Linked DNA regions of Anolis sagrei. The protein of the gene in region 1 interacts with the protein of each later gene in a pairwise test. Links are inferred from orthologs where the notes say so. Each region holds a gene or a part of one and is shown in the gene's direction. Other genes may lie near its edges.

The links.
Region 2: the proteins of BCL2L13 (region 1) and GABARAPL2 interact in binary tests that used the Homo sapiens proteins (3 or more experiments, as listed by UniProt). The two-hybrid records come from large-scale screens. The link is inferred for Anolis sagrei from reciprocal best matches to the Homo sapiens genes BCL2L13 and GABARAPL2.
Region 3: the proteins of BCL2L13 (region 1) and lysoplasmalogenase TMEM86B-like interact in binary tests that used the Homo sapiens proteins (3 or more experiments, as listed by UniProt). The two-hybrid records come from large-scale screens. The link is inferred for Anolis sagrei from reciprocal best matches to the Homo sapiens genes BCL2L13 and TMEM86B.
Region 4: the proteins of BCL2L13 (region 1) and PLP1 interact in binary tests that used the Homo sapiens proteins (3 or more experiments, as listed by UniProt). The two-hybrid records come from large-scale screens. The link is inferred for Anolis sagrei from reciprocal best matches to the Homo sapiens genes BCL2L13 and PLP1.

Annotation. Positions count from the first base shown.
Region 1 is NC_090025.1:180,138,646-180,146,139, forward strand, and holds the start of BCL2L13 (bcl-2-like protein 13), read left to right. Parts: upstream 1-4,250; 5' UTR 4,251-4,470; intron 4,471-7,494. UniProt on the Homo sapiens protein: May promote the activation of caspase-3 and apoptosis.
Region 2 is NC_090028.1:29,634,224-29,642,103, reverse strand, and holds the start of GABARAPL2 (gamma-aminobutyric acid receptor-associated protein-like 2), read left to right. Parts: upstream 1-4,792; 5' UTR 4,793-4,927; coding exon 4,928-4,961; intron 4,962-7,880. Other genes in the region: TMEM231 (transmembrane protein 231), read right to left, coding at 767-895, 982-1,157, 4,554-4,653. UniProt on the Homo sapiens protein: Ubiquitin-like modifier involved in intra-Golgi traffic. Modulates intra-Golgi transport through coupling between NSF activity and SNAREs activation. It first stimulates the ATPase activity of NSF which in turn stimulates the association with GOSR1.
Region 3 is NC_090026.1:20,933,663-20,940,923, forward strand, and holds the start of lysoplasmalogenase TMEM86B-like, read left to right. Parts: upstream 1-3,939; 5' UTR 3,940-3,951; coding exon 3,952-4,047; intron 4,048-6,839; exon of another isoform or gene 6,840-7,122; coding exon of another isoform or gene 7,123-7,173; intron 7,174-7,261. UniProt on the Homo sapiens protein: Catalyzes the hydrolysis of the vinyl ether bond of choline or ethanolamine lysoplasmalogens, forming fatty aldehyde and glycerophosphocholine or glycerophosphoethanolamine, respectively and is specific for the sn-2-deacylated (lyso) form of plasmalogen.
Region 4 is NC_090030.1:20,109,800-20,117,988, reverse strand, and holds the start of PLP1 (myelin proteolipid protein), read left to right. Parts: upstream 1-5,154; 5' UTR 5,155-5,281; coding exon 5,282-5,285; intron 5,286-8,189.

The DNA of each region.
Region 1 (7,494 bases):
TTATTGTTCTTATACCCTGCTAACATCTCCCGCAGGACTCGGTGCGGCTTACAAGAGGCCAAGCCAAACAACATCATGAAAAAAACAAAACAATAAATAACTCATAAAAAGCAAAAACAATACAATAATAACACAGCACATTATAAAAATATGAGGTGGGCCAAATGTAAAAGTTTTACAAGTTAAAAGCTGGGAAGTTTAAAGGGGATAGGAGGAATGTTTTGGAAAAGGTGAACGTGCAGACAGTTCTAAATCTCTCATAAAGTGCATTGAGGACATACTGCTTAGGATTCCTTATTCTGGGAAGGCACACCGGAACATCAACGTTTTCAAGCTCCTTCTAAAGACTGCCAGTGTTGGGGCCTGCCTGATGTCTTTGGGAGGGAGTTCCAGAGTCGCGGGGCCACCACCAAGAAGGCCCTGTCTCTCGTTCCCACCAATCGCGCCTGTGAAGCAGGTGGGATCGTGAGCAGGGCCTCACCAGATGAACGAAGAGATCGTGTGGGTTCGTATACAGAAATGCGATCGCGAAGGTAGATGGGTCCCAAACCGTTTAGGGCTTTGTAGGTAAGCACCCGCACCTTGAATTAGGTCCGGAAAATGAATGGCAGGCAACGGAGCTCCTTAAACAGGAGGGTTGACCTCTCCCTGTAAGGAGCACCAGTTAACAGTCTGGCAGCCGCCCGCTGCACCACCTGGAATTTCCGGGCTGTTTTCAAGGGCAGCCCCACGTAGAGTGCATTGCAGTAGTCCAATCTAGAGGTGACTAAGGCATGGACCACCCCGGCCAGGTAATGGCGCTCCATGCAGCCATGCCGACTACATGACCTTGGAGGTGTCTACGGACAACGCCGGCTCTTCGGCTTAGCCATGGAGATGAGCACCAACCCCCAGAGTCGGACACCTTTAGGGGAAAATCTTTACCTTTGCCTTAATACATAGAAATTGTAATGCTCCAATATATTCCATTTTATTCAGGGAAGAAGACCTAATAATAATAATAATAGTTGTTGTTGTTGTTGTTACAATGGCAACGCTATACGAGGCAAGGACGGGCAAGGAGAAGCGCACGAGGGGCGAGTGTGGATGTGTGACGTCACGACGCTGCCATCTCGATGCTGAGCATGCGTGCCTTCATTTGCCCTTCTCCATCATGGCGGCGGCAGAAGCTAGATCCCTTGTGTGGAGGGTAGTCTTACATGGGAGAGTGTCGTCATGACGGTGGCGTCCCGTACGTGCCCGGCTTTCCCGTGTCCCCTTTTGCCCTCTTCCATCATGGCGGTGACAGAGGCTTTTACATATAAACCCCTTGTTAAGAGTATTCTTAAATGGAGTGACGTCATGACGGTGTTGTCGCGTACGTGCGTGCCCGGCTTTGCCGTGCCTTCTCTTTGCCCTCTGTTATGGGCGGCAGCAGAAGCTTTTATAGATCCCTTGTGTTGAAGATATTCTTACAGAGAGCGAGTGACGTCATGACGGTGGCGTCGCGTGCGTGCCCGGCTTTTCCGTGCCTTCTTTTGCCCACCTCCATCATGGCGACGGCAGAAGCTTTTTTATAGATCCCTTTGTGTGGCGGGTATGTTTACATGAGGAGTCACGTCATAATGATAGCGTCGCGTGCGTGCCCGGCTTTATCGTGCCTTCCTTTGCCCTCCTCCATCATGGCGGCGGCAGAAGCTTTCCTAGATCAATGTGCTGTGCTAATTATATAATGTAATACAATATATTGTATATACATATAGTATTTATAATATTATAATGTAATACAATATAATACTAAACATATATCATAATTATATATTTTATATTACATAGAATCATAGAATCAAAGAGTTGGAAGAGACCTCATGGGCCATCCAGTCCAACCCCCTGCCAAGAAGCAGGAATATTGCATTCAAATCACCCCTGACAGATGGCCATCCAGCCTGTGTTTAAAAACCTCCAAAGAAGGTGCCTCCATCACACTCCGGGGCAGAGAGTTCCACTGCTGAACGGCTCTCACAGTCAGGAAGTTCTTCCTCATGTTCAGGCCCTGTCTCTCGTCCCCAACAATCATGCCTGCGACAATGGTGGGACAGAAAGGGCCTCCTCGGAGGATCTTAATCTTTGTGATGGTTCATAGGGGGAGATGCGTTCGGACACGTAATTTGGGCCGGGGCCATTTAGGGCTTTATAGGCCAAAGCCAGCACTTTGAATTGTGCCCGGTAGCAAACTGGCAGCCAGTGGAGCTGGCATAACATGGGAGCAGTATGCTCCCTGTGTGCCGCCCCAGTTATTAATCAGGCTCCCTCTCGTTGGACTGTTTGAAGCTTCCGAGCAGTCTTCAAAGGCAACCACATGTAATAATAATAATAATAATAAACTTTATTTGTACCCCACTACCATCTCCCCAAGGGACTCGGTGCGGCTTACATGAGGCCTAGCCCGAAGTACATCAAACAAACATCAATAACACAACATTAATAAACAATCAATAAAATACAAATCATATAAATCACATAACAAAAACAACAATCAATAATGAATGGCCGGGCCAAATGTAATAGATTAAAATTGAGAATATGCTGATGTGAACAGGTACAATGTAACTGGGATAGGATTTTTCAGAGAGAAACGAGGGAACGCAATCCATCCTAAGTCAGTAGAGTGCGTTGCAGTAGTCTATCCTAGATGTAACGAGAGCATGGACCACCATGGCCAAGTCTGACTTCCCAAGGTACAGGTGCAGCTGGCACACAAGTTTTAATTGTGCGAATGCTCCCCTGGCCACCGCTGCAACCTGGGATTCCAGGCTCAGTGATGAATCCAGGAGAACTCCCAAACTGCGAACCTGTGTCTTCAAGGAGAGTGTGACCCCTTGAAGTTTTTTGTAGCTTGAAGCTATTGTTCCACGTCCTAGTCTCCAGGGCAGCAAGAAACAAGCTTGTTCCTTCCTCCCTGTGGCTTCCTCTCACATATTTATACATGGCTATCATGTGGAAGGCAAAAGGAAGAGGGGCCGACCAAGGGCAAGATGGTTGGATGGCATCCTTGAAGTGACTGGACTGACCTTGAAGGAGCTGGGAGTGGTGACGGCTGACAGGGAGCTCTGGCGTGGGCTGGTCCATGAGGTCACGAAGAGTCGGAGACGACTGAACAAATGAACAACAACAACATCATGTATCCTCTGGAGCCCCCGGTGGTGCAGTGGGTTAAACCCCTATGTTGGCAGGACTGAAGACCAACAGGTCGCAGGTTCGAATCCAGGGAGAGGCGGATGAGCTCCCTCTCAGCTCCAGCTCCTCATGCGGGGACATGAGAGAAGCCTCCCACAAGGATGATAAAAGCATCAAATCATCCAGGTGTCGGCCTATGAACCCACCAGGACTTTGAGATCTTCCGGGGAGGCCCTGCTCTCGATCCCACCGGCTTCTCAAGCACGGTTGGCGGGTATGAGAGTTAGGGCCTTCTCGGTGGTGGCTGCTCGGCTGTGGAACGCCCTTCCTACAGACATTAGGCTGGCGCCATCTCTCATGGCATTCCGAAGAAAGTTGAAGACCTGGATGTTTGTGCAGGCGTTTGAGTAATTTAGTGCAATCTGGTAATGGAACATAGGAATGGAACAATGGACGACGAACCTGGACTACGCTTGGATGATGAGAAGATTGGGTACGGTTGTTTTTTGTAATAATTGTGCATTGTAATTGCTTATTGATAATTTATGGATAATGTGTTGTTATATGTTGCATGGAACCACTGCTGTCTCTACTGTTTTTACTGTTTGTGAACCGCTGTGAGTCGCCTTCGGGCTTGAGATACAGCGGTATATATGCAAAGTAAATAATAATAAATAATAATAATAATAATAATAACGTCCTTGCAGACAGCCAATTCTCTCACAGCAGAAGTGACTTGCAGTTTCTCAAGTCGCTCCTGACACGACAAAAAAAAGTCTCCATTCAGCCTTCTCTTCTTCAGGCTAAACATGCCCAGCTCTTCAAGCCGCTCCTCATAGGGCTTCTCCAGACCCCTGATCATTTTAGTCGCCCTCCTCTGAACACATTCCAGCTTGTCAATCTCTCTCTTCAGTTGTGGTGCCCAGAATTGGACAGGTGTGGACTAACCATCAACTATCTTTTAAAGTGTGGTTTGACTTCTGCCCACACTTTTTGCAATTCCTCTCTTTCTTTCTTTTTTTTTATAGATTTCTTGTTGAGGGTATTTTTTAAGGGAGTGTGTGACGTCATGACGTTGCGTGCGTGCGTGCGTGCCCGGCTTTGCCGTGCCTTCTTTTTGCCCTCCTCCATCATGGCGGCGGCAGAGGCTTTCATTTAGGGGCCCCCTGGCTGAGGGAGGAAGAGAGAAGCGCCGCGCGCGCAGGCAGACACGCGCGCCACCACCAAACCCGAAAGGCGGCCAACGGCTCCAGCACGGGAAGCGCCGCGCGCCCTCCTTTCGCCGTTTTGACCTCCTCGCTTGCCGTCATTCAGGTAAACAGAAGGCGCACACCCCCCAAAGGGATACCAGATACAATCCTTAGTAATCTTGATCAAATCCTATCCCTTTATGAATATATTCTCTGCTGAAAGTTCTATAGAATATTAATGTGTAATGCAGTATTAATATTGTAGTCTTTCAGGTTGTTTGGTTTGTTTGCAATGACCTCAAATATATACAATAGTGTAGAAGAGGCATGGGCGAACTTGGGCCCTCCAGGTGTTTTGGACTCCAACTCCCACCATTCCTAACAGCCTCAGGCCCTTTCAGGGCCTGAGGCTGTTAGGAATGGTGGGAATTGGAGTCCAAAACACCTGGAGGGCCCAAGTTCGCCCATGCCTCTTCTATAAGATACAATTATTAGTCTTCCAAATGAAACACCATTATAAGTATATTGTCTCCAGAAAGTCCTTCAAATATTAATGTGCTCGCATTGTTATGAAATTGTTTATATCCCGCTTTTGTCTTTCGATTGAGATGCAAAGTGTCTTAAACACGAGTCATCATGTATTTCTAATTCTGCAGACCTGCTTTTCCAGTCTTCTGCTGGGAGTGGTTGTTTTTTGGGGGGCTCATTCTTTCTCCATCTATCATGGAACTGTGGCTAATGTGTACATATGCATTTATTTTATTTATTTACAATATTTCTACCCCGCCTTTCTCGAACCCAAAGGTGACTCAAGGCGGCTTTACAACATAAGCAGCTATTCGATGCCATTAAAACAATGTAAAAATTACAATAAACATTATAATATAATGATAATAAAACTTTATTTATACCCCCCAAACCCAAAGGTGACTCAAGGCGGCTTTACAACACAGGCAGCTTTTCGATGCCATTAAAACAATGTAAAAATTACAATAAATATTGTAATATAATGATAATAAAACTTTATTTATACCCCCCAAACCCAAAGGTGACTCAAGGCGGCTTTACAACACAGATAGCTATTTGATGCCATTAAAACAATGTTAAAATTACAATAAACATTATAATATAATGATAATATTTTATTTATACTCCGTCACCATCTCCCCAAGGGGACTCGGGGCAGCTTACATGAGGCCAAGCCCAACAATTACATCAAAGCAAATATACAACATAAAATAATTCATCCATAAAATAAAATGAAAATATTTTCTCCACCTATCATGGAAGTGTGGCTAATATGTATTTATTTCTTTTATTTATTTACGATATTTCTACCCCGCCTTTCTCAAACCTGAAGATGACTCAAGGCGGCTTTACAACATAGGCAGCCATTTGATGCCATTAAAACAATGTAAAAATTACAATAAACAGTATAATATAATGTATTTATCGTGTCAGGGACAGACCAAACAGTTGCATTACATTTTTTAGCAAACAGACAAACAAAACACAAAGTTTGCAAGTTTGGTAGTTGATTAAATGTCTTTTGACCAGTAGCTCGCCACTTGGAGTGCCTCTGGTGTTATAATATAAAAGTATAATAATAATAATACTTTATTTATACCCCATCACCATCTCCCCAAGGGGACTCGGGGCGCCTTAAATGAGGCCAAGCCCAACAATTACATCCAAGCAAATATACAACATAAAATAATGCATCAATAAAATAAAATGAAAATATTTTCTATCATGGAACTGTGGCTAATAATATGTATGTAATTCTTTTTTTTATTTACGATATTTCTACTTTCTCGAACCCGAAGGTGAATCAAGGCGGCTTTACAACACAGATAGCTATTTGATGCCATTAAAACAATGTTAAAATTACAATAAACATAATAATATAATGATGATAAAACTTTATTTATACCCCGCCACCATTTCCCCAAGGGGACTCGGGGCGGCTTACATGAGGCCAAGCCCAATCATTACATCAAAGCAAATATACAACATAAAATAATAAATGAATAAGATAAAATGAAAATAATGAAAAGCAATACAAAATAAACACACAATACAATATAAAATCACAATTTCAAACAGAATTGTAAAATACATACATTAAAACATTTAAAATCATATCAAACACTATTAGCCTCATTGTCCAAAAAATATAGTCTAAACCATTCCAGTGTTTGATTTCACATAGTTCCATGTTTATCTATTGCACTAGGTTCCGACAGGCTTTTTCAAAAAGCCATGTTTTCACTTTTCTGTGGAAGGTCAGGAGGGAAGGGGCTGATCTAATATCCCTAATATCCACAGCCTGTATGGGAGGACAGTTTCAGTTCAGTTCAGATAGTTTCTAAGAAGGACCAATTAACCCTTCAACCAAAAAAAAAGTTGCACGGGCTGAAGAGCCTTTCTTTGTCCACTATGGCGCCAGTGATTCCTAGCTTGGTACAAATGTGGTCACAGGCTTCGTGCGTGTGTGTGTGTGTGTAGCATGGCTGGGATCATAGTACGGCCCTGCTTTAAAAAGTCAAACTAACAAGTTGAAAGAGTAGGTTGTTTGTAGAGCCTTTCCTCACAATGGGGTGTGATTTGACTCTTCTTTCCATTTTTTGATAACTGGCTGCTGTGTGGTTGTTTGAAATTGCGGGAGGAACAGATTCCTCTTCCTCCTGCTGACTGGACAAGGGATTAGCAATATAGACAGAGGCATGTCCTGTCATCTGACAAATGTTTTCTTTTTAGAGAATTATTGCTGGTGGGGGCTGGACTGCCTGTGCTTGTGCTTGCATGCATTTGGGCTGCCATTTCTTCCCTCTAGTACTCCCCCCCCCCACACTCCCCACAATTGCATTTATTCAACAGTTGGTAAGAATGGCGTTCTTTGCATGTACTTGAGGGAGAGAAGATAGATGCATGATACAGCATGCCCTTTCTTCTTTTTCAAACTTGCTCTTGCAAGAGGAGGCCTGTACAGTTGTTTCCAAATCCCTGGTCTCGTTGGAAAGGCGAATAAAAGCTCTGCAGAATTGCACTGACTATTTACTAAAATTGAATTCTTAGCATTAGATCACTAGAAGCGTTAGATATTGTTACTACTTGCTGGGTCGTTGATTGACTGCAGACTGTAAGG
Region 2 (7,880 bases), on another chromosome or scaffold:
TCAATGCCAAAGTGAGTACAAAACATATCAAAAACATATTAAAATACATGATAGAGCACAACAATAACAGGGGTTTTTTTTGTCGTGTTAGGAGCAACTTGAGAAACTGCAAGTCACTTCTGGTGCGAGAGAATTGGCTGTCTGCAAGGACGTTGCCCAGGGGACGACTGGATGATGTGATTTTTTTTATCATCCTTGTGGGAGGCTTCTCTCATGTCCCCGCATGAGGAGCTGGAGTTGATAGAGGGAGCTCATCCACCTCTCCCTGGATTTGAACCTGCGACCTGTTGGTCTTCAGTCCTGCCGGCACAGGGGTTTAACCCACTGCGCCACCCTTGCCTCCAACAGCCACTGGGGGCTCCAACAACAATAACAGTGAATTAAGCATCGAGATAAAATATAACAGAATACTAAGTAAGACATAATTAACTAAAACATAAATAAACATTACAACAAATACCCTCAAAACAGTTTAAAATACAGTTACAATAAAAATGGCTGGCACCGGTGTTCCTCTAAGACAGGGGTCAGGAACCTTCGGCCCTCCAGGTGTGATGGACTTCAACTCCCACAATTCCTTGAGGCTCGGCATTCGCCCCAAAGGCTTACCTTGGCCTCAAGGAATTGTGGGAGTTGAAGTCCACCACACCTGGAGGGCCGAAGGTTCCCCATGCCTGCTCTAAGATGTATTGTGGCAGCCATATAGTGCAAGTGGAGTTGGCCATAATTCCAAATTTGATGAACAATCACGCCCTGGACTCCTCACCTGCAGCTGGTAGGAGAAGGTCAGCAGGAGCTGGACGCCCACGACTTGCTCCGAGGGCCGCAGAGGGAGCTCCAGGCGTAAGGAAAGCCGGTCCATCAGGCCGTCATGGTCTGCGTCCTCCTCCCGGGCCTGAAGAATGAAGGAATGGATGGAAGCGGGCAGAGGGCCTGACTTCCCGCCATGGAAAAGGAGGAAGGAAGGACCTGCTTTCCTACCGAGATAAGTGGGAGGCGTAGGTGGTCACCCAGAAGCCGGTTGCAGGCTGCAAAGGAGCTCCACCCCACGAAGCCCCCACTGCCCTGCTCTCCAGCCAGAAGCCCTGTTAACAGCACCTCATGCTGAAAGCGGACCCTGGGCTGCTCCTCGTAGCTGCTCCGCTTCAGCCAGAATCCTGTGGGGATGGAAGGAAGGCGGGTAGGCAGCGTTTTTATCCAAAGGATATTTTATTCTTTTTCAAATTTTATTTTACTTTTCAAGAATGACTTTTCAATTGTAATGACTTTGCAAAACACAATAAAATGTATAGCAGGTGAACATTTAGAAACCAAGTTCAAGTTATTATGGTCAATGGAACTCATTGCCCAGTGAGATTAGGAAAGCCCCCACCTTAGAAATTTTCAAGAGGGATCTCAAAACCTGGCTTTTCCAACACGCTTTTGGAGAGTAGCCATATTATCATACACAGTTGCTCCCCCTCAACTGTTTCTGTCCCCAGAGTATATTCCCCACCTGTATGAAGGTCTATATTTATGACCCCGTTCCTTTACGAGTTTCTCCCCCACAAACAATCTGCTCCATCCCTATCTCATCCTGATTTTAGTATTTTTAGTATCTTTGTTTTTATCTTGCACATGAGGCCCATCATTGTTATGTTATTTTATTTTACTGTGTATGATTTTGCTTTATCGTCTTTGCACTCATATGTTGTATGTATTTTACTATGTTGTTATTGTGTTTTGGTTTTACTTTATTGTAATATGCTGTTGGGCTTGGCCTCATGTAAGCCGCCCCAAGTCCCCATTGGGGAGATGGTGGCGGGGTATTAAATAAAGTATTATTATTATTATTATTATTATGACTGGTTTGAGAAAACAGATACAATCCCAACAAAGGATTCTCCCAGATAGGAAGCAGCCAGACTTTGAAGCTGCAAGGCTATTCAATGCTAATCAAGGTGATTAATTGCAACATTCACCCTTGCCTCCAACAGACAAGAATTATTTCTCCTGCCTGGGACATTATTCCAAAGATATATAGACCTCACTTGCCTAGTTTCCAACAGACCTCACAACTTCTGAGGATGCCTGCCATAGCTGTGGGCGAAATGTGAGGAGAGAATGCCTCTGGAACATGGCCATACAGACAAGAATCAATCAGGGCCAGCTAATCACCGGTGATAGTATGATAGCTGGGTCCGGAAGCTCTGAACGTTACCAAGATGCCGCAAAGGTGGCTGTGAATAAGGGAAGAGAGGGGACGGAGTGAGAGCAGGGAGAGCGAAGAAAGGTTAGAAAGGAGGGGACACTTAGGGTAAGGGTTAGGACAAGGTTCAGGGTTTGGGTTAGGGTTACAGTTAAGGTAAGGGTTAGGGGTTATAGTTAGGGTATGGTTTAGGGTTTGAGTTTCGGTTAGCATAAGGGTTAGGGTTTCACCATTAAAGAACTCTTATATTCCTTTTATGTTATCTGTCTCTGGCCTGGCTTACATTAACTAAGTCTCTCTTGCGCAAACAGTGCTCCCGAAGGAGCGATGTGGCATCTCCGTAACACTCGGAGCTTCCGGACCCAGCTATCATACTATTACCTAATCACCTCCCAACAAAGGATTCCCCAGGAAGTAAATAGCCAGACCTTGAAGCTGCAAGGCTATTCAATGCTAAGGAAGAGTTCTTGCTCCCACCCTGGACCTTCCACAGTTATATAAACCCCACTTGCCTAGATTACATTTTTAAAATTTTTATTGTTCATTGTTTTTATGATTTTAAATATACTGTAATGTTTCTTTTTTCTGCGTTTTATCAATGTATGCATTTTATATATGGCATCAAATTGTGCCGACTCTATACGCCGCCCTGAGTCGCCTTCGAGCTAATATGGGCGGGATAGAAATAGCATAAATAAATAAATAAATAACAGACCTCACGCTGAGGATTCCTGCCATAGATGCAGGCGAAATGTCAGGAGAGAATGCTTCTAGAACATGGCCATACAGACAAGAATCAATCAGGGCCAGCTAATCACCTCCCAACAAAGGATTCCCAGGGAAGTAAATAGCCAGACCTTGAAGCTGTAAGGCTATTCAATGCTCCTACCATTGCCTCACAACCTCTGATGATTCCTGCCATAGATGCAGGCGAAATGTCAGGAGAGAATGCTTCTGGAACATGGCCATACAGACAAGAATCAATCAGGGCCAGCTAATCACCTCCCAACAAAGGATTCCCCAGGAAGCTGCAAGGCTATTCAATGCTCCTACCCTTGCCTCACAACCTCTGAGGATTCCTGCCATAGATGCAGGCGAAACCTCAGGAGAGAATGTTTCTGGAACATGGCCATACAGACAGGAATCAATCAGGGCCAGCTAATCACCCCCCAACAAAGGATTCCCAGGGAAGTAAATAGCCAGACCTTGAAGCTGCAAGGCTATTCAATGCTAATGAAGAGTTCTTGCTCCCACCCTGGACCTTCCACAGTTATATAAACCCCACTTGCCTAGATTCTAACAGACCTCACAAACTCTGAGGATTCCAGCCATAGATGCAGGCGAAACGTCAGGAGAGAATGCTTCTGGAACAGGGCCAGCTAATCACCTCCCAACAAAGGATTCCCCAGGAAGTAAATGGCCAGACCTTGAAACTGCAAGGCTATTCAATGCTCCTACCCTTGCCTCACAACCTCTGAGGAGGTTTGCCATAGATGCAGGCGAAACGTCAGGAGAGAATGCTTCTGGAACATGGCCACACAGACAAGAATCAATCAGGGCCAGCTAATCACCTCCCAACAAAGGATTCCCCGGGAAGTAAATACCCAGACCATGAAACTGCAAGGCTATTCAATGCTCCTACCCTTGCCTCACAACCTCTGAGGATGCTTGCCATAGATGCAGGCGAAACGTCAGGAGAGAATGCTTCTGGAACATGGCCACACAGACAAGAATCAATCAGGGCCAGCTAATCACCTCTCAACATAGGATTCCCAGGGAAGTAAATAGCCAGACCTTGAAACTGCAAGGCTATTCAATGCTCCTACCCTTGCCTCACAACCTCTGAGGATTCCTGCCATAGCTGCAGGCGAAATGTCAGGAGAGAATGCTTCTGGAACATGGCCACACAGACAAGAATCAATCAGGGCCAGCTAATCACCTCTCAACATAGGATTCCCAGGGAAGTAAATAGCCAGACCTTGAAACTGCAAGGCTATTCAATGCTCCTACCCTTGCCTCACAACCTCTGAGGATTCCTGCCATAGCTGCAGGCGAAATGTCAGGAGAGAATGCTTCTGGAACATGGCCATACAGACAAGAATCAATCAGGGCCAGCTAATCACCTCCCAACAAAGGATTCCCCGGGAAGTAAACAGCCAGACCTTGAAGCTGCAAGGCTATTCAATGCTAATGAAGAGTTCTTGCTCCTGCCCTTGCCTCACAACCTCACAACCTCTGAGGATGCTTGCCATAGATGCAGGCGAAACGTCAGGAGAGAATGCTACTGTAAGCCCGGAAAACTCACAACAACCCAGTGATTCTGGCCTTGAAAGCAATCCCTCCCTTGTTTTTCGTGGATCCTCACCGTGGCTCCGGAAGGCCACCAGCAGCGGCGAGAGGACGACCAGCACGCCTAGTAAGAAGAGTGCTGTTGCTGCCACCGCGCTGCGCCTCTCCTTAGCCATGGCGCGGCTCCGTCTCCACGGCAACGCGAAAGACAGGAAACGGGGTCTAGGGGGCGGGCTTTCGTGCGGCCGTCCAATCAGCAAGGCGCCTCGGAGAACTCGAGCGGAAGTCCTCCCGACAGTGAGGGTTGTCGGGAATCTTGACAACCGGAAGTCACACCCTGTATTCCGGAAACGGGGAGCAAGAGCTGGAATCTCTGTCGTCGTCGCCGTTGTTGTGGCGTTGGAGGCCCGAAAGAAAGAGCGCGACCCCCGCCCCTCCCTCCTCCGCGCCATGAAGTGGATGTTCAAGGAGGACCACGCGCTCGGTGAGGAAGGAAGGCGGGAGGGAGGGAGGGAGCCGGGCCCGGACAAACAGGAAGGAAGGAAGGCAAAGAAGGGGGCCGGGCCTTTCCTTTCCCTCAGGGATTCTTGATTCCCATCCTGCCTCCTCACTAAGTGGTTCATTATAGCAGCTACACAAAATACAACGCAGAAGGAATGACACTGTGGAAAACAACAACAACAACAATAATAATCCTCAGTTCTCGTGGGTTTTTTCTGGCTATATGGCCATGTTCTGGAGGCAATTTTTCTCCTGACGTTTCGCCTGCATCTATGGCAAGCATCCTCAGAGGTAGTGAGGTCTGTTGGAAGTAGGAAAAATGGGTTTATATATCTGTGGAATGACCAGGGTGGGACAAAGGACTCTTGTCTGCTGGAGCTAGGTGTGAATCTTTCAACTGACCACCTTGCTTGTATGCTAATCAAGGTGGTCAGTTGAAAGATTCACACCTAGCCCAACTTACAAAAGCCCTTTGTCTCACCCTGGTCATTCCACAGATGTTGTTGTTGTTGTTCATTGGTTCAGTCGTCTCCGACTCTTCGTGACCTCATGGACCAGCCCACGCCAGAGCTCCCTGTCGGCCGTCACCACCCCCAGCTCCTTCAAGGTCAGTCCAGTCACTTCAAGGATGCCATCCATCCATCTTGCCCTAGGTCGGCCCCTCTTCCTTTTGCCTTCCACTTTCCTCAGCATAACTGTCTTCTCCAGGCTTTGCTGTTTCCTCATGATGTGGCCAAAGTACTTCAACTTTGTCTCTAGTATCCTTCCCTCCAATGAGCAGTCGGGCTTTATTTCCTGGAGGATGGACTGGTTGGATCTTCTCGCAGTCCAAGGCACTCTCAGCACTTTCCTCCAACACCACAGCTCAAAAGCATCGATCTTCCTTTGCTCAGCCTTCCCTAAGGTCCAGCTCTCACATCCGTAGGTGACTACAGGGAATACCATGGCTTTGACTAGGCAGATCCACAGATATATAAACCCCTTTTTCCCAGTTCCAGCAGACCTCACCTCTGAGGATGCTTGCCATAGAGGCAGGCGAAACGTCAGGAGAAATGCCTCTAGAACATGGCCCTATAGCCCGAAAAAACCCACAAGAACTGAGTGATTCCAGCCATGAAAGCCTTCGACAATACAATAATAATAATCTTTATTTATATCCCGCCCCATCCCCCCCGGAAGGTCTTGGAACGGCTTACAACATAAATAAATACAATAAATAACAAATACAGAATAAAAGAAGGCAGATCATAACATGACAAGTCGATATAAAAGAGGAAAAGGAAGAAAACAAAACAGGCAAATTAAACAATAAGCTGTTATGTTTGTTTATTTATTTACGAGCTTGGATTATGATTTTAGTTATGAGACGCTAGTGAGTTTTTTATTGATGTTTACTGATGGTTATTGGTGTTAATTGCTTACTGTATTATTGTGTTAATTGTCTTTTAAATGGCTGTACGATGTTTGCAATTAATTTTTGCCGCTTCTTGTTGTTAACCGCTCTGAGTCGCCTAATGGTTGAGAAGAGCGGTATACAAATAAAGTAAATAAATAAATAAATAAATTTATTTACTGTATTGTCGAAGGCTTTCATGGCTGGAATCACTAGGTTCTTGTGGGTTTTTTCGGGCTGTAGAGCCATGTTCTAGAGGCATTTCTCCTGACGTTTCGCCTGCATCTATGGCAAGCATCCTCAGAGGTATTTACTGTATTTTTATACCGCCTTTCTCAGCCCGTAGGCGACTCAATGTTAGGCCAGTGGTTCTCAACCAGTGGGCCCCCAGGGGTTTTGGCCTACAACTCCCAGAAATAATAATAATAATAATAATAATAATAATAATGTATTGTCGAAGGCTTTCATGGCCGGAATCACTGGGTTGTTGTAGGTTTTTTCGGGCTATATGGCCATGGTCTAGAGGCATTCTCTCCTGACGTTTCGCCTGCATCTATGGCAAGCATCCTCAGAGGTAGTGAGGTCTGTTGGAACTAGGAAAAGGGGTTTATATATCTGTGGAATGACCAGGGTGGGACAAAGTTTATTTATTTATTTGGTAGTTTTGTATACCGGTCTTCTCACCTCCATTCGAGGGACTCGGGCCGGTTTCCAACATCAATATTACAGACCGTCATTAAAACATCATATTTCTAAATCACACTAAACCATTAAAACATTGAAACAATTAAAATGGCAAAAATACAATCATATGATTACAGTGGTCAGTCGTCATCAAAGTCATTATTCATCATCAACCATCCATATCACAGGATCATGGCTCATTCGTTGAATGCCAATCCCCAAAGCCAGGTTTTCACCTGTTTCCTGAATGTTAAGATCGAAGGGGCAGTTCTGATCTCCAGTGGAAGAGAGTTCCAGAGTCGGGGGCCACGACCGAGAAGGCCCTGTCTCCCGTTCCCACCAGCCGCGCCTATGAGGCCGGTGGGATCGAGAGCAGGGCCCCTCCAGACGATCTTAGTAATCTTGATGGCTCATAGGGGAGGATACGTTCGGACAGGTAAATTGGGCTGGAGTCATTTAGGGCTTTATAGGATAAGGCCAGCACTTTGAATTGTGCTCGGAAGCTGACTGGCAGCCAGTGGAGCTGGCGCAACAGAGGAATAGCATGCTCCCTGTGCCCCGCTCCCGTTAGTAATCTGGCAGCCGCACGTTGGACTAATTGAAGCTTCCGGGCAGTCTTCAGAGGCAACCCCACGTAGAGAGCGTTGCAGTAATCTAAACGGGATGTAACCAAAGCGTGGACCACCGTGGCCAAGTCAGACTTCCCAAGGTATGGGCGCAGCTGGCGCACGAGGTTTAATTGTGCAAAAGCTCCCCTGACCACCGCCGAAACCTGGGGCTCCAACCTCAGCAATGAGTCCAGGATCACTCCCAAGCTGCGAACCT
Region 3 (7,261 bases), on another chromosome or scaffold:
TATACTTTAACAACAAAACTGTTCAATGCTAAGGCTTCCCGCCAAAATGAAACTGTAGAGGAGAGTCTACTGAACAAGCTAGTACATGCTGCATACCAGTACTGCCATCTGTTGAAGAGTTACAAAGGTGGAGGCATTACTTTTCATTCAACCCTCGTATTCCAGTTCAAAGCAGAAAATGTGGGATTTTATTCAGCTGTGTGGAAGGGGCCTAGGACACAGAATAATGGCTTCAAACTACAGGAAAGGAGATTCCATCTGAACATTAGAAAGAATTTCCTAACTGTGAGGGCTGTTCAGCAGTGGAACTCTCTGCCCCGGAGTATGGTGGAGACTCCTTCTTTGGAGGCTTTCAATCAGAGGCTGGATGGCCATCTGTCGGGTGTGCTTTGAATGCGATTTTCCTGCTTCTTGGCAAGGAGTTGGACTCGATGGCCCACGAGGTCTCTTCCAACTCAGTGATTCTGTGATTCTATGAGAAGGTAAGGAACCTAAGACAACAGGAGTAATGCTTTATATATCCTTCTCACTTGAACCCCAGTTATTACAAACTCCTTAACTTAGGTCCCATTCACACAATAGAAGCATGGCATCTTCATTCCACTTTAACTGACATGGTTCAATCCTATGGAATTCTGAGATTTGCAGTTTGTTATTTTTTTTTGTTATTATATACCTTGACACTGCTTCTTCTGGGCAGAATATTAATTCCTTTTATTGGAATGTTCTCTTGTGGGTTAGGCTTACACACACACTATATATTAATTTAAGCATGTATTTGAATAAAAAATATTTTAATACACATACATTAATTCATCAGTAGATTTTTTAGCTTACACACATGCTTACACAGCATGTATTTAAATAAAAATATTTAAATACACATACATCAATTCATCAGTATAATTTTTTTAGCTACAGGTTTTGGTTAGTTTTTATATCTTGAGTTACTTCTGTGATTTCAGTTATTGCAATTTTTTGGCTGTGATGATGAAAACACAATGACACACACATACACAATTCGATGGAAGAACTTACATGAACCTAAGATTTCACAATTTGAGTTGAGTTGAGATTTCAGAGTTTGAGTTGGAAACTTTGGAAACTGCTGAAAAAAATTATAAGCGGCTGTGACTACAAAAAGGTAAGTCATGTTTTTCTTTCTTTTCAGCTTCTGTTTTAAATACAGTATTTTGGTTGGGCTGTTCTGTTTGGATTTGTCTCATGATAGCACTTACATTTCTGAATAGGAGCACTACAACTTACAGCTTAAACCTTCTTAATTAAAAATTGCAACATTAATTATTTCCTTGAAATCTGTTTACTATCTCTCTTTGTGGTTTACTAAATTGCTCTGTGAAGATACCTCCATAAATCTAAAATAGCTGATGTAGTATGTTAATTTTTATCGCAACACATCTCTATTTCTTTAACTTATATTTTCTATCTCCTAATCCCAAGTTTCATATGCATTTTAGAACCACCTCATTATTGTATTTGGGAAAACTTACATATGTACAAATATGTATCTACAGAGATACTCACAGTAACACTTTCAGACTCTCAGCAAATGAGAGTCCAAAAGTGGCAGGTTAAAACTGTGACTGATACCAGATGAATCATAGAATCATAGAATCAAGGAGTTGAAAGAGACCTCATGGGCCATCCAGTCCAACCCCCTGCCAAGAAGCAGGAATATTGCATTCAAATCATCCCTGACAGATGGCCATCCAGCCTCTGCTTAAAAGCCTCCAAAGAAGGAGCCTCCACCACACTCCGGGGCAGAGAGTTCCACTGCTGAACGGCTCTCACAGTCAGGAAGTTCTTTCTCATGTTCAGATGGAATCTCCTCTCTTGTAGTTTGAAACTCTCTCCTGGGCACACAGAAGACTGGACAACTTGGAAGGCCCTGAAAAGACTATGTGCACTCTGGTACCATCTTGTAATTGAAACTACTTTCAAATTATTTATTGAGCTATTATTGTTTGTTGTGTGCCTTCAAATTGTTTCCAGCCTTGGCGATCCGAGGGAAAACCTAGAGCGACCCAAATCTATGAGGATATAATTTGCTCAAAGGGGATTTATCCTTGCCTTCTTCTGAAGTTACCCTCTTTGTATCTTATTTACAGTACACACAGAATTCAATAAAACAGTGTTTCTCAACCTTCCTAATGTTGTGACCCCTTAATAAAATTCCTTTTTGTTGCTACTTCATAACTGTCATTTTGCTAGTGTTATAAATATCTGATATGAAGGATGTATTTTCATTCTCTGGACCAAATTTGGTATAAGTATCCCATACGCCCAAATTTGAATACTGGTGGGATAGTGGGGTTGATTTTGTCATGTGGTAGTTGTAGTTGCTGGGATTTATAGTTCACCTACAATCAAAGAGCATTCTGAACTCTACCAATGATGGAATCGAACCAAACTTGGCACCCAGAACTCCCATGACCAACATAAAATACAGGAAGGGTTTGGTGGGCATTGACCTTGAATATTGGAGTTCTAGTTCACCTACATCTAGACAGCACTGTGGACTCAAACAATGATAGATCTGGACCAAACTTGGCATGAATACTCAATATGCCCAAATATGAACACTGGTGGGGTTTGGGGGAAAATAGATCATGGCATTTGAGAATTGTAGTTGCTGGGATTTATAGTTCATCTACAATCAAGTAGTATTCTGAACCCCACCACAATAGAATTGGGACAAACTTCCCACACAGAGCCCCCATGTCTTCTTCCAGCCTTGCACGCTCTCCCTCGCCCACACATGTGCACCATGCTGCCATGCGCTGAGCGCGCCTGTTTTCCCCTCCCCACTTGGAATTTCAGAAACAACCCTCCCCTTGGTTGAGAGGCCAGCCAAGAGCCCGGCCAATCACAGCAGAAGAGGACTTTTGGTGGGAGAATTTGCCGTGTATCCAAAAAGGAAGAGAAGGTCAAGCGGAGAGATCTTCAGCCTTCTCTGTACAAATATATGTTTGCTGATGGTCTTTGGCGATGCCTCTGAAACCCCCTCATGACCCCCCAGAGGTCCCAAACTCCAGGTTGAGAAATACTGCAATAAAATAAGGCTCCAAAAAACTCAAATCTTGGCCAGCTTTCATGGAGAAATGTGTACCTATTGGTGGCCCCCAAGTCAGTGATCGGTAGAATCCACTCCAATCCAAAACACCTCACCTATTTTAGGGACAAGTTCAGCACCTTGGGGAGTTCTTACAAAGTCAGAATAGAACCAGAATGGATTCACTGCTCCACTGAAATGGAAGCATCATCCGGACTTGGCAAAATAGACACTTTTCCTTTACCTTCACATTTGTATCACCAGATATTCCTGCAAAACTTCACACAGTTAGATCAAACATTAATGGATTATTTCATCATTCATAGCTCGCTATCTATCTCTGTCCAGGAGCTGTTCCAGCTGTGTTTTGTCTCAAACTGACTGGGGTAACTTTTTCAGAGTGAAGGAGGAGATAGTCTTATCGCGTTTTGAGTTTTATCATGCCTTCGGATTCCTATGGGAAAAGCCAACTCCAAGGAGAAGGAATCACTGTGGTAAATCCAAAGACTTGATAATCCTGTAGGGCAGGATTCATTTCTGACTCGTGTTTAATCTATTTTAAGTATGTTGTTGTTGTGTGCCTTCAAGTCATTTCCGACATATGATAAACCTAAGGCAAACCTGTCACTGGGTTTCTGGAACTGAGAGCGTATGACCCGTTCCCCGCACAATCACACTTCTATGTAATGGAGTCCATTTTGGTCAGTAATGAATCTCCTCAACGCTTCACATAGGGATGGAAGCAGGAAGATGTAGGCCTTAAGGGTGGAGAGAGTCATATTCCCACGCAATATTGAGACATGCAAAATGTATTTTCCATATCTTATTTTGAATCACGTCCTACAAAGCTCTCTGCTGTGCTCATTCAAGGCATAGCGATGGAGGTGTCTGGTCCAGCAGGGTCCTCTTTCCGCGGAGAACAGTGGCTCGCACAACGTGGGTCTCAACGTGGTGTGTCGAACCACAGCCCTGAGGTGGGTTGCACAATGGCAGCATCAATTTCCCACTATTGTTTCATGTTTCTTTCTAGAGAAGCAGGTAGCCAGGAAGGGAAAGAAGAAACTTGACAGAATGACTAGACGTGGGGCGTTGCCGCTGTTGTTGTTGGGTGCCTTCAAGTCATTTTCAACCTGTTGTGAACCTAAGGTGACCCTATCACGGTACTTTCTTGGCACAATTTGAGAATTGCCTCTGTTGTTGAGAGTGTGATTCACAAGAGGTGCATTTCATGGCCAAGTAGGTATTGAAACTCTGGTCTCCATGTCTAATGCTCTAACCAGAATTCTTTTTTTATATGGTCTAAAGCATTGGTACCCAATCTTTGGTCTGCCAGTGTTTGGGATTTCAGCTTCTATAATTCCTGAGCACTGGACAAGCTGGCCTATTGAAGCTGAAGTCCAAAACAACTGGAGGACCAAAGTTTGGAAATGACTGGCCTAAAGGATTCTTCTGTGCCAAACAACTTGTTATCCTAACAAGAGAAGAAGAGCAAAGATGTGAGAGTGTGGGCGTTTGTTGTTTGGGTTAGCAAATCTATCTTGAGACAGCATTCCAAGATAACCGCTGTTTCTGTCGCATAAGGTTGCCAAGTGAAACAAAGGGAAAGGCTTTAATGGTGGCTCAGAACATGGAATTTCAGCAGCCGGTGCTTACAGGATAAGCAACATCTGGTGAAGATCCTTCTCTTAAGCACCTACAGTTAGCTCTTCACATTTGTGGATATTTCTTTTGCCACTTTGATTGGATTTGATTAATATGGTGGATTTGATTAATATGGTCTTTAGGAATTTCTAGATCCACCAATGTAACTCTATGGCCAATTTCAAGTGGGATTTCACCACAGAGTTGTGTTGGAGGAACTAGAGCAGCGTTTCTCAATCTGGGGGTTGGGACCCCCCCCCCCGGGGGGGGTCGCAAGCGGGTGTCAGAGGGGTCACCAAAGACCATCAGAAAACAGTATTTTCTGTTGGTCAGGAGGGTTCTGTGTGGCAAGTTTGGTCCAATTCTTATCATTGCTGGAGTTCAGAATGCTCTTTGATTGTAGGTGAACTATAAATCCCAGAAACTACAACTCCCAAATGTCAAGGTCTATTTTCCACAACTCCACCAGTGTTCACATTTGGGCATATTGAGTGTCTGTGCAAAGCTTGGTCCACATACATCATTGTTTGAGTCCATAGTGCTCTCTGGATGTAGGTGAACTACAACTCCAAAACTCATACACTTCCAGTATTTTCTGTTGGTCTTGGAAGTTCTGTGAGGCAAGTTTGGTTCAGTTCCATTATTGGGGGAGTTCAGAATGCTCATTGATTGTAGGTTACCTATAAATCCCCTCAACTACAACTCCCAAATGACAAAATCAACCTCCGCCCCTAAACCCCACCAGTACTCACATTCGGGCATATCCAGTATTTGTGCCAAATTTGATCCAGCGAATGAAAATACACAGTACATCCTGCACATTATGCTATCTAAATACCCCAAAGGATAATCTTAGGTAGCTCCTCTTAGTACTTGGATGGGACACTGCCAATGAATACTAGATGCTGTAGGCTATATATCAAAGGAAGGAACTGGGAAAACCACTTCTAGGTATTCATTGCCAAATAAAACCTTATGATTTAAAGGGTTGCCATATGTCAACATATGACTTGAAGATGCATATGCACAATATTTCATCATCTTTTCCATCTCCTTGTTTTCTATTCTGCTGACTCCAGGAATTGCCCCATAATCCAAGTTGTCTTTTTTTTCAATCACAGTTATATTTTGCATATTATGTTTTAATCGTTTGTCAGTTTGAATCTTAAGAGTCTAATACTTTTTTTTTTACTTCAGAATTTAGTTTAGAAGCAGAATCCTTAACTTAAGGGGCTGTTCAGCCCAGTGGCATAGTGGGTTAAACTGCTGAGCTACTGAACTTGGTGACCAAGCAGTCGTTGATTCAAATCCGGAGAGTGGGGTGAGCTCCCGCTGTTAGCCCCAGCTTCTGCCAACCTAGTAGTTCAAAAACATGCAAATGTGAGTAGATCAATAGGTACTGCTCCGGCGGGAAGGTAACAGCGCTCCATGCAGGCAAGCCAGCCACATGACCTTGGAGGTGTCTATGGACAATACCGGCTCTTTGGCTTAGAAATGGAGATGAGCACCAACCCCCAAAGTTGGACATGACTGGACTTAATGTTTGCCTTTACCTTTACCTTACTTCTCAGACCACGGTGAAATGAGGGGATAATTCTTTCTCACTTACTTAGGGAATTCAATATGAGAAAGCTGAGCATTAGATGAGAACACTGGGAGACTAGACTTCAAATCCCTGCTCGACCATGGGAATCACACTCTCTCAGCCTCAGAGAGAGATAATCTGAACCCTCATCTGAACAAATTTTGCCAAGAAAACCCTGTGATAGATTCGCCTTAAGTCAGAAATGTCTTAAAAGCACATAATAACAAAGAATGTGCTTCTAACCAGAAGGTGGATAAGAGAGCAGATAGGAGGATGAGTCCTAGCAGCAGAACTACTGAAAAGGAAGGAAGGCACTAACTCCCCTTTGGAGAGTCTTGCAGAAAGATATTTAAGCATTGCAAATTGCATCACACTCCTGTTCTAGTAACTGAGCTGAATATTTGACAACAACGTTTTCCTCTTGCCCACGAAAACTGGAGACTTTGTACTCCCATCTTCCACCTGGAGATGATCCACAAAAACCAAGCTCTGAGACCTGCCAATTGTACCTGAAGGTCTTGTGCAAGTTCAGGAGCCCTTCCCTATGTACTGTAATGCAGCTGCTCTCCCTGTTCCTTGACGGGGATGGTGGATCATGGCATAGTCATTGCCCAGCAGCTTGGGCCGGATGTCAGGCTGTCTTTGTGCTCTGTCAGAGCCAGGTACATCTCGACAATCTGGTGCCAAGCAGGGACAGGGCAGTGATTGGCTTCTTATCAAAGGGCCCCTCCTTGTGCCTGCCAAGAAGATGAAAGTCCAGTTTTGCGTATCATAGGCCTTTTCCGCTTTCCACTTGGCAGTGCTACAGCCATTGGGAGAAACCATGGATATCCTGGAGATAGATGCCCAGTATAGGAAGAAGGTGGCGGCTAATGTAAGAGCCTTTTTGTGTGTGTATCACTCACAGTGGAGGGAGTGGGAAATGGAAGCACAGTCTTGGGTGATGGTCTCAACCTACTATA
Region 4 (8,189 bases), on another chromosome or scaffold:
GGCGGGGCTGTCCTTGCCCCTCCCCCACAGCCCCCTTCCCCCACAAAAGCCTGACTTTGTCCCATTGTCCTCTGGCACCCGGGCCTCTGTGGAGCCATTGTTGGGCACATAAAGGGCCTGTGTCTGTCTTGCTCCGGGCGAGGCTCTGCCAGCCAAGCCTTCGGGGATAAAGGATGCCATAGAGAGAGGAGCACAAGGCCCCCCTTTTTGGGATGGGTGGGGCCGCACCTGGAGGGGAAGATCCACCCCAAAGGGACAACTCCTTTGCCTGGAAATCATAGAATCATAGAGTTGGAAGAGACCTAATGGGCCATCCAGTCCAACCCCCTGCCAAGAAGCAGGAATATTGCATTCAAAGCACCCACGACAGATGGCTATCCAGCCTCTATTTAAAAGCTTCCAAAGAAGGAGCCTCTACCACACTCTGGGGCAGAGAGTTCCACTGCTGAACAGCTCTCACAGTCAGGAAGTTTTTCCTAATGTCCAGATGGAATCTCCTTTCTTGTAGTTGCTCCCTCCTCCCTCTGACTTCTTCTCACATACTTATACATGGCTATCATGTCTCCTCTCAACCTTCTCTTCTTCAGGCTAAACATGCCCAGCTCTTTAAGTCGCTCCTCATAGGGCTTGTGCTCCAGACCCTTGATCATTTTAGTCATCCTCCTTTGGACACATTCCAGCTTGTCAACATCTCTCTTCAATTGTGGTGCCCAGACACCACATGGGCCATCTAATCCAAATGTCATAGAATCATAGAGTTGGAAGAGACGACATGGGCCATCTAGTCCAATCCAGAATGGAAAAGCACAATCAAAGCAGTTTCAACAGATGGCCATCCAGTTTCTGTTTAAAAGTTTCCAAGGTAGGATATTCCACCAGACTCTTAGGCAGAGAGTTCCACTGCTGAACAGCTCTTACAGTCAGGAAGTTCTTCCTAATGTCCAGGTGGAATCTCCGCTTCTGCAATTTGGACCAATTTCTCCAAGTCCTAGTTTCCATGGCAGCAGGACACAAGCCTGCTCTCTCTTCATTATGACATTCTTTCACATATTTATACATGGCTCTCATATCTCCTATTAGTCTTCTCTTCTGAGGCTAAACATACCTAACTCTTTGACCCTTTCAGTCGCTCTCCTCTGGACTCCTTCCAGCTGTCAGTATCTCTTTTAAACTGTGGTTCCCAGAATTGGACACAGTGTGATTCCAGGTAAAGAGGTCTAACTAAAGCAGACCAGACATGGGCAAACTTCGGCACTCCAGGTGTTTTGGACTTCAACTCCTAAAATTCCTAACAGCCGATAGGCGGTGATGTATATCTACATTTATACTTGGCTTCTATGGAAATGAGTAAACAGATATGGGACTTTGGGAATTTTTATGTCTTTGAAAAAAGCTCAGAAGATAAGAAGGTCATTCTGTGCTTGGCTAGGTTTGCTTTACCAGCCAGAGAAAATAATTCACGACAATGGAAGGGAGCAACTTTGACAACTCAGCACACAGGCTTTAAAAATGGGGATATCTGTTTTGAAAATATAGGGAGGTGTAAAATCTCATGAGGCCCCTTCTGCACTATTATATAATCCAGATTGGATTATAAGAGTCTATATAGCCATATAATCCAGTTCAAAGCAGATAGGTTGCTGTGAGTTTTCTGAGTTGTATGGCCATGTTCCAGAAGCATTCTGTGTGTTATTGTTTATATGTAAGTTATATTAATTGTACTGTTTTATTTGCTTGCTTTATTTTATTTTATTTTATTTGTCGTGTCAGGGAAACCAGTCAATTATATTACATTTCTAACAGAACAAAGCAAACAAACAGACAAAATACAAAATGTGTGATTTGGTAATTGATTAAATGTCCTTTGACCAGTATCTGGCCACTTGGAGTGCTTCTGGTGTTGCTGCAAGAAGGTCCTCCATTGTGCATGTGGCAGGGCTCGGGTTGCATTGCAGCAGGTGGTCAGTGGTTTGCTCTTCTCCATACTTGCATGTCGAGGATTCCACTTTGTAGCCCCATTTCTGAAGGTTGGCTCTGCATCTCATGGTGCCAGAGCTCAGTCTGTTCAGTGCCTTCCAAGTCGCCCAGTCCTCTGTGTGCCCAGGGGGAGTCTCTCATCTGGTATCAGCCATTGGTTGAGGTTCTGGGTTTGAGCCTGCCACTTTTGGACTCTCGCTTGCTGAGGTGTTCTAGTGAGTGTCTCTGTAGATCTTAGAAAACTAGTTCTAGATTTAAGTCGTTGACGTGTTGGTTGATACCCAAACAGGGGATGAGCTGGAGATGTCTCTGCTTTGGTCCTTTCAGTATTGGCTGCTACTTCCCGGCGGATGTCAGGTGGCGCAATACCGGCTAAGCAGTGTAATTTCTCCAGTGGTGTAGGGCGCAGACACCCCGTGATAATGCGGCATGCCTCATTAAGAGCCACATCCACTGTTTTAGGGTGGTGAGATGTGTTCCACACTGGGCATGCATACTCAGCAGCAGAGTAGCACAGCGCAAGGGTAGATGTCTTCACTTGTATCTGGTTGTGATCCCCAGGTTGTGCCAGTCAGCTTTTGTATGATATTGTTTCTAGCACCCACTTTTTGCTTGATGTTCAGGCAGTGCTTCTTGTAGGTAAGAGCATGGTCCAGAGTGACTCCCAGGTATTTGGGTGTGCTGCAATGCTCCAGTGGGGTTCCTCCCCAGGTGATCTTCAGAGCTCGGGATGCTTCTCTGTTCTTGAGATGAAAGGCACATGTTGTGTTTTAGATGGGTTGGGGATCAGCTGGTTTTCCCTATAATAGGCAGTAAGAGCACCTACAGCACCTTTGCTTGCTGTTTTGTTTTTACTGATGTGTTGTTGGGCTTGGCCTCATGTAAGCCACCCCAAGTCCCCTTGGGGAGATGGTGGCGGGGTATAAATAAAGTTTTATTTATTTATTATTATTATTATTATTATTATTATTCTGACCTGACATTTATGGGAGGCATCATTAGAGGTTATGAGGTCTGTTGGAAACTGTCTGTCTGAGGTCCAACAGACCTCACAACTTCTGAGGATCCCTGCCACAGATGCAGGTGAAATGTCAGGAGAGAATGCTTCTGGAACATGGCCATACAGCCCAGAAAACTCACAACAACCCAATGATTCCAGCCATGAAAGCCTTCGACAATTCAAAGCAGATAATCTGGATTTTATATGGCAGTGTAGAAGGAGGCCTCAAATACACAATTTGAAATTGAAAGGTCAGACCAGTCGCCTCCTCTCCTTCTCCCTCCAAGTGAGACTTAAGCAGCTCCCCCCCGCCCCCCCGGCCTTTCTCTCCTCCTTGCTCCCTCCTTCTCTCCTTCTTGGGTCATTTATTCTGGCCTCACTCCTGGCCTCAGCCTCATAAACAACGCCACTCCACCCCTCCATTAGCCTGGCCTCGCTGTCCTCTTGGGTGGACAATCCCTGGCATTGTCTGCAAGGGAGGCTCTGAGAAGGGATGGACTCCAATGGTGCCTCCCCACCCCCACCTCAAAAAAAGAAGTTTCTTCTCTCACTGGACAAGACTTCAAGTTTTGCGCCTGGTTTTTACATTCCAAAACAAAATGTTTTGGTGTTTTTTTAGCAACCCTTTCATACTGTATTTTGTTTTGCTCTGATGCAGAATGAGATTGCACTAGATCAGGCACAGGCGCTCCAGGTGTTTTGGACTTCAACTCCCATCATTCATAACAGCATCAGGCCCCTTCCTTTTCCCCCTCAGCCACCTAAGCCTGCACTTGATGGACTTTTGGGGGTCTTTTCTATGATAAGCGTTGGATGTTTGGATTTGTTTGTTTCTTCATGTCAGGAGTGACTTGGGAAACTGCAAGTTGCTTCTGGTGTGAGAGAACTGGCGGTCTGTGAGGACGTTGCCCAGGGGACGCCTGGATATTTTGATGTTTTATCATCCTTGTAGGAGGCTTCTCTCATGTCCCCATATGGGAAGCTGGAGCTGATAGAGGGAGCTCATCCGCCTCTCCCCGGATTCGAACCTGCGGCCTGTCGGTCTTCAGCCCTGCCGGCACAGGGGTTTAACCTACTGCGCCACAGGAGGCTCCTATTCCAGCCATGAAAGCCTTCGACAATACATTGGGGTTTGTTTGTTTTTTCGTGTCAGGAGTGACTTGAGAAACTGCAAGTCACTTCTGGTGTGAGAGAACTGGCGGTCTGCAAGGACATTGCCCAGGGGATGTTTGATGTTCGACCATCCTTGTAGGAGGCTTTTCTCATGTCCCCATATGGGGAGCTGGAGCTGACAGAGGGAGCTCAACCCACTCTCTCTGGATTCGAACCAGTCCTGCAGGCAGAAGGGTTTAACCCATTGCATCACTGAGTTATATGAGTTGGGATTTTGGCCTGCATCAATAGGAGCATAGTGTCTAGGTCCAGGGAAGTAATGCTACCCCTTTATTCCGCCTTGGTTAGACCACACCTGGAATATTGTGTCCAATTCTGGGCACCACAACTCAAGAGAGATATTGACAAGCTGGAATGTGTCCAGAGGAGGGCGACTAAAATGATCAAGGGTCTGGAGAACAAGCCCTATGAGGAGCGGCTTAAGGAGCTGGGCATGTTTAGCCTGAAGAAGAGAAGGCTGAGAAGAGATATGATAGCCATGTATAAATATGTGAGAGGAAGCCACAGGGAGGAGGGAGCAAGCTTGTTTTCTGCTTCCTTGGAGACTAGGACACAATGGAACAATGGCTTCAAACTACAAGAGAGGAGATTCCATCTGAACATGAGGAAGAACTTCCTGGCTGTGAGAGCCGTTCAGCAGTGGAACTCTCTGCCCCGGAGTGTGGTGGAGGCTCCTTTTTTGGAAGCTTCTAAACAGAGGCTGGATGGCCATCTGTCAGGGGTGATTTGAATGCAATATTCCTGCTTCTTGGCAGGGGGTTGGACTGGATGGCCCATGAGGTCTCTTCCAACTCTGATTCTATGAGTCTACATTGCCATATAATCCAGTTCAGTGTGGATTTTATACAGCTGTGTGGAAGGGGCGAGAGAGAGGGAGGACAAACTTAACGAGAGCCCACTTGCTCTGATGCGCGCGCATCTTCGCGTTCCCGCAATTGGGGAGGGGGCGTGTTTGGGGGCGTGGCGAGGGCGCTGGGGGCGGTCCCTTTAAGGGGCTTGGCTGCCACCCCAGGGCCCTTTTCTTGGCCGTGGGACTGCGGAGCCCAGGCAGTCAGCACAGCAGCCAGGCAGATTGACAGGCAGGACTTTCTGAGGAGAGGAAGGCGGCAAGGGATTCACGCCCCAGAAGAGATGGGTGAGTTTTCCGACCCCTGCAACGCCCCCCACCCTGAAAGGAGGGCTGACAGCCAGAGCTTTTGGAAGATTGAGCCTCTCAGAACAGAAGCTGCTTGCAGGCATGGGCAAACTTCAGTTTAAGCGGCTGAGGGGGAAAAGGAAGGGGACCGAGGCTGTTGGGAATGATGGGAGTTGGAATCCAAAATACCTGGAGGGCCCAAGTTGGCTCAAGCCTGCTCTAGAGGTTTATGGCTGCTTCTGTCAATTACCTTATTATTATTATTATTATTATTATTATTATTATTATTATTTATATTCTGCTCTATCTCCCTAAAGGGACTCAGGGCAGATTCCAAACATAAAAGGCAAACATTCAATGCATTTGAACATTAGGAAAAACTTCCTGACTGTGAGAGCCATTCAGCAGTGGAACTCTCTGCCGTGGAGTGTGGTGGAGGCTCCTTCTTTGAAACGTTTTAAACAGAGGCTGGATGGTCATCTGTCTGGGATGCTTTGAATGCGATTTCCCAGTTACTTGGCAGAATGGGGTTGGACTGGATGGCCCATGAGGTCTCTTCCAATTCTCGGATTCAATTATTCTACTAGCCGTCCCCTGCCACGTGTTGCTGTGGCCCACATGGGGATTCTGTGTGCCCAATTCTATCGTTGCTGGGGTTCAGAATGCTCTGTGATTGTAGGTGAACTATAAGTCCCAGCAACTACAACTCCCACGGGCATCACCACCAGGAAACACAGTATTTTTTTTTTTTTGGTATTGGGGGTTCTGTGTGGGAAGTTTGGACCAATTCTATCATTGGTGGGGTTCAGAATGCTCTCTGATTGTAGGTGAACTATAAGTCCCAGCAACTACAACTCCCAAATGTGAAGATTCTATTTTCCCCAAACTCCACCAGTGTTCACATTTGGGCATATTGAGTATTCTTGTAGCGTTTGGTCCAGATCCATCATTGTTTGAGTTCACAGTGATCTCTGGATGTAGGTGAACTACAATTCCAAAACCAAAGGACACTGCCCACCAAACCCTTCTAGTGTATTCTGTTGGTCACAGGAGTCCTGTGTACCACGTTTGGTTCAATTCCATCACTGGTGGAGTTCAGAATGCTCTTTGATTGTAAGTAAACTATAAATCCCAGCAACTACAAAATGACAAAATCAGATTTTTGAGTGATGGTCACTACTTGGGTTAATAGGTGTCTTGTGTCCAAATTTGGTGTCAATTCATCCAGTGGTTTTTGAGTTCTGTTAATCCCACAAACGAACTTTACATTTTTATTTATATAGATGAAATACCTTCTGAATTCCAAGGCCCCAAGTTTGCCCATGCCTACTCTATCCTCTACAAACCCCAGGATTGAATAGCTGTAATCCATAGCAGTCAAAGAACTGTGGTTGGGCAGAAGGAAAATAGACACAAGCCAAACGTGTGGGTTTAGCCCTGTTTGCATTATTATTTCCCTCTCTTCTATGTTTTGCTTAAGAGCCAAGAAAGAGCAAGAAAAGGGAGAGGAATGCCGATCTTCTCATGCGCTAGGCATGCACGGCCCACCCATCCAAACACATCCTTCATTCAAATATCAACAATACATCAGGGAAGGCTTCTGGACATTAGGAAGAACTTCCTGACTGTGAGAGCTGTTCAGCCGTGGAACTCTCTGCCCCAGAGTGTGGTGGAGGCTCCTTCTTTGGAGGCTTTTAAACAGAGGCTGGATTTCATAGAACCACAGAATTGCAAAATAATAATAATAATAATAATAATAATAATAATAATAATCTTTATACCCCGCCACCATATCCCCCAACGTGGACTTGGGGCGGCTTACATTATGCCAAGCCCAAACAATAAATTACCACAAGAGACCACATGGGTCCTCTAGTCCAATCCAGAACTTCTTCAGGCTAAATATGCCCAGCTCTTTAAGCTGCTCCTCATAGGGCTTGTTCTCCAGACCCTTGATCATTTTAGTCACCCTTCTCTGGACACATTCCAGCTTGTCAATATCTCTCTTCAGTTGTTGTGCCCAGAGACCACATGGGCCAACTAGTCCAAATGTCATAGAATTGGAAGAGACCACATGGGCCATCTAGTTCAATCCAGAATGGAACTGCACAATCAAAGCAGCTCCAACAGATGGCCATCCCATCTCTGTTTAAAAGTTTCCAAGGAAGGATCTTCCACCAGACTCTGCTGAACAGCTCTCACAATCAGGAAGTTCTTCCTAATGTTCAGATGAAATCTTCTCTCTTGTAATTTGAACCCATGGCTCTGAGTCCTAGTTTCCAGAGTAGCAGAACACAGAGCTGTTGAGCAGTGGAACTCTCTGCCCCAGAGTGTAGTGGAGGCTCCTTCTTTGGAAGCTTTTAAACAGAGGCTGGATGGCCATCTGTCGGGGATGCTTTGAATGAAAATGTCCTGCTTCTTGGCAGAATGGGGTTGGTCTGGATCTTCCATGAGGTCTCTTCCAACTCTAGGATTCTATGATTCTAAGACTGTGGATTTCTTTCTGGGACATGTGAACCTGGCAATGAGCAGCCCACACTGAAATGATAGCAGCTCTGTGGGGCAAAAGAAGGGGTGCTTCTGCTACTTAATTCCATCTCTCCTGGAACCAGTGCAAAGATGTAGGAGCCTCTTGCAAAGACCCCTCCTCAGCAGCGGAAGAGAGGTCCAGAGCCCAGGAACAACTCCTGTTTCCTTGGCAACCAGAGGCAGGAGCATCATCGGGAAGAGAGGAGGCTCAGTGGGCTGGAGGGGTTGCTGGTGGGTAGAAGGTAGGGAGGGTGGCATTGGGTGGCATAGGGGATCCTGCCTGGCACACAGGTGGGAGCACATGTGGAATCCCAGCTGGCAGGTCCCTCTGCTTTGTAAGAAAGCGGTTTTCCTGGCTTTACGGTTCCAGCATAG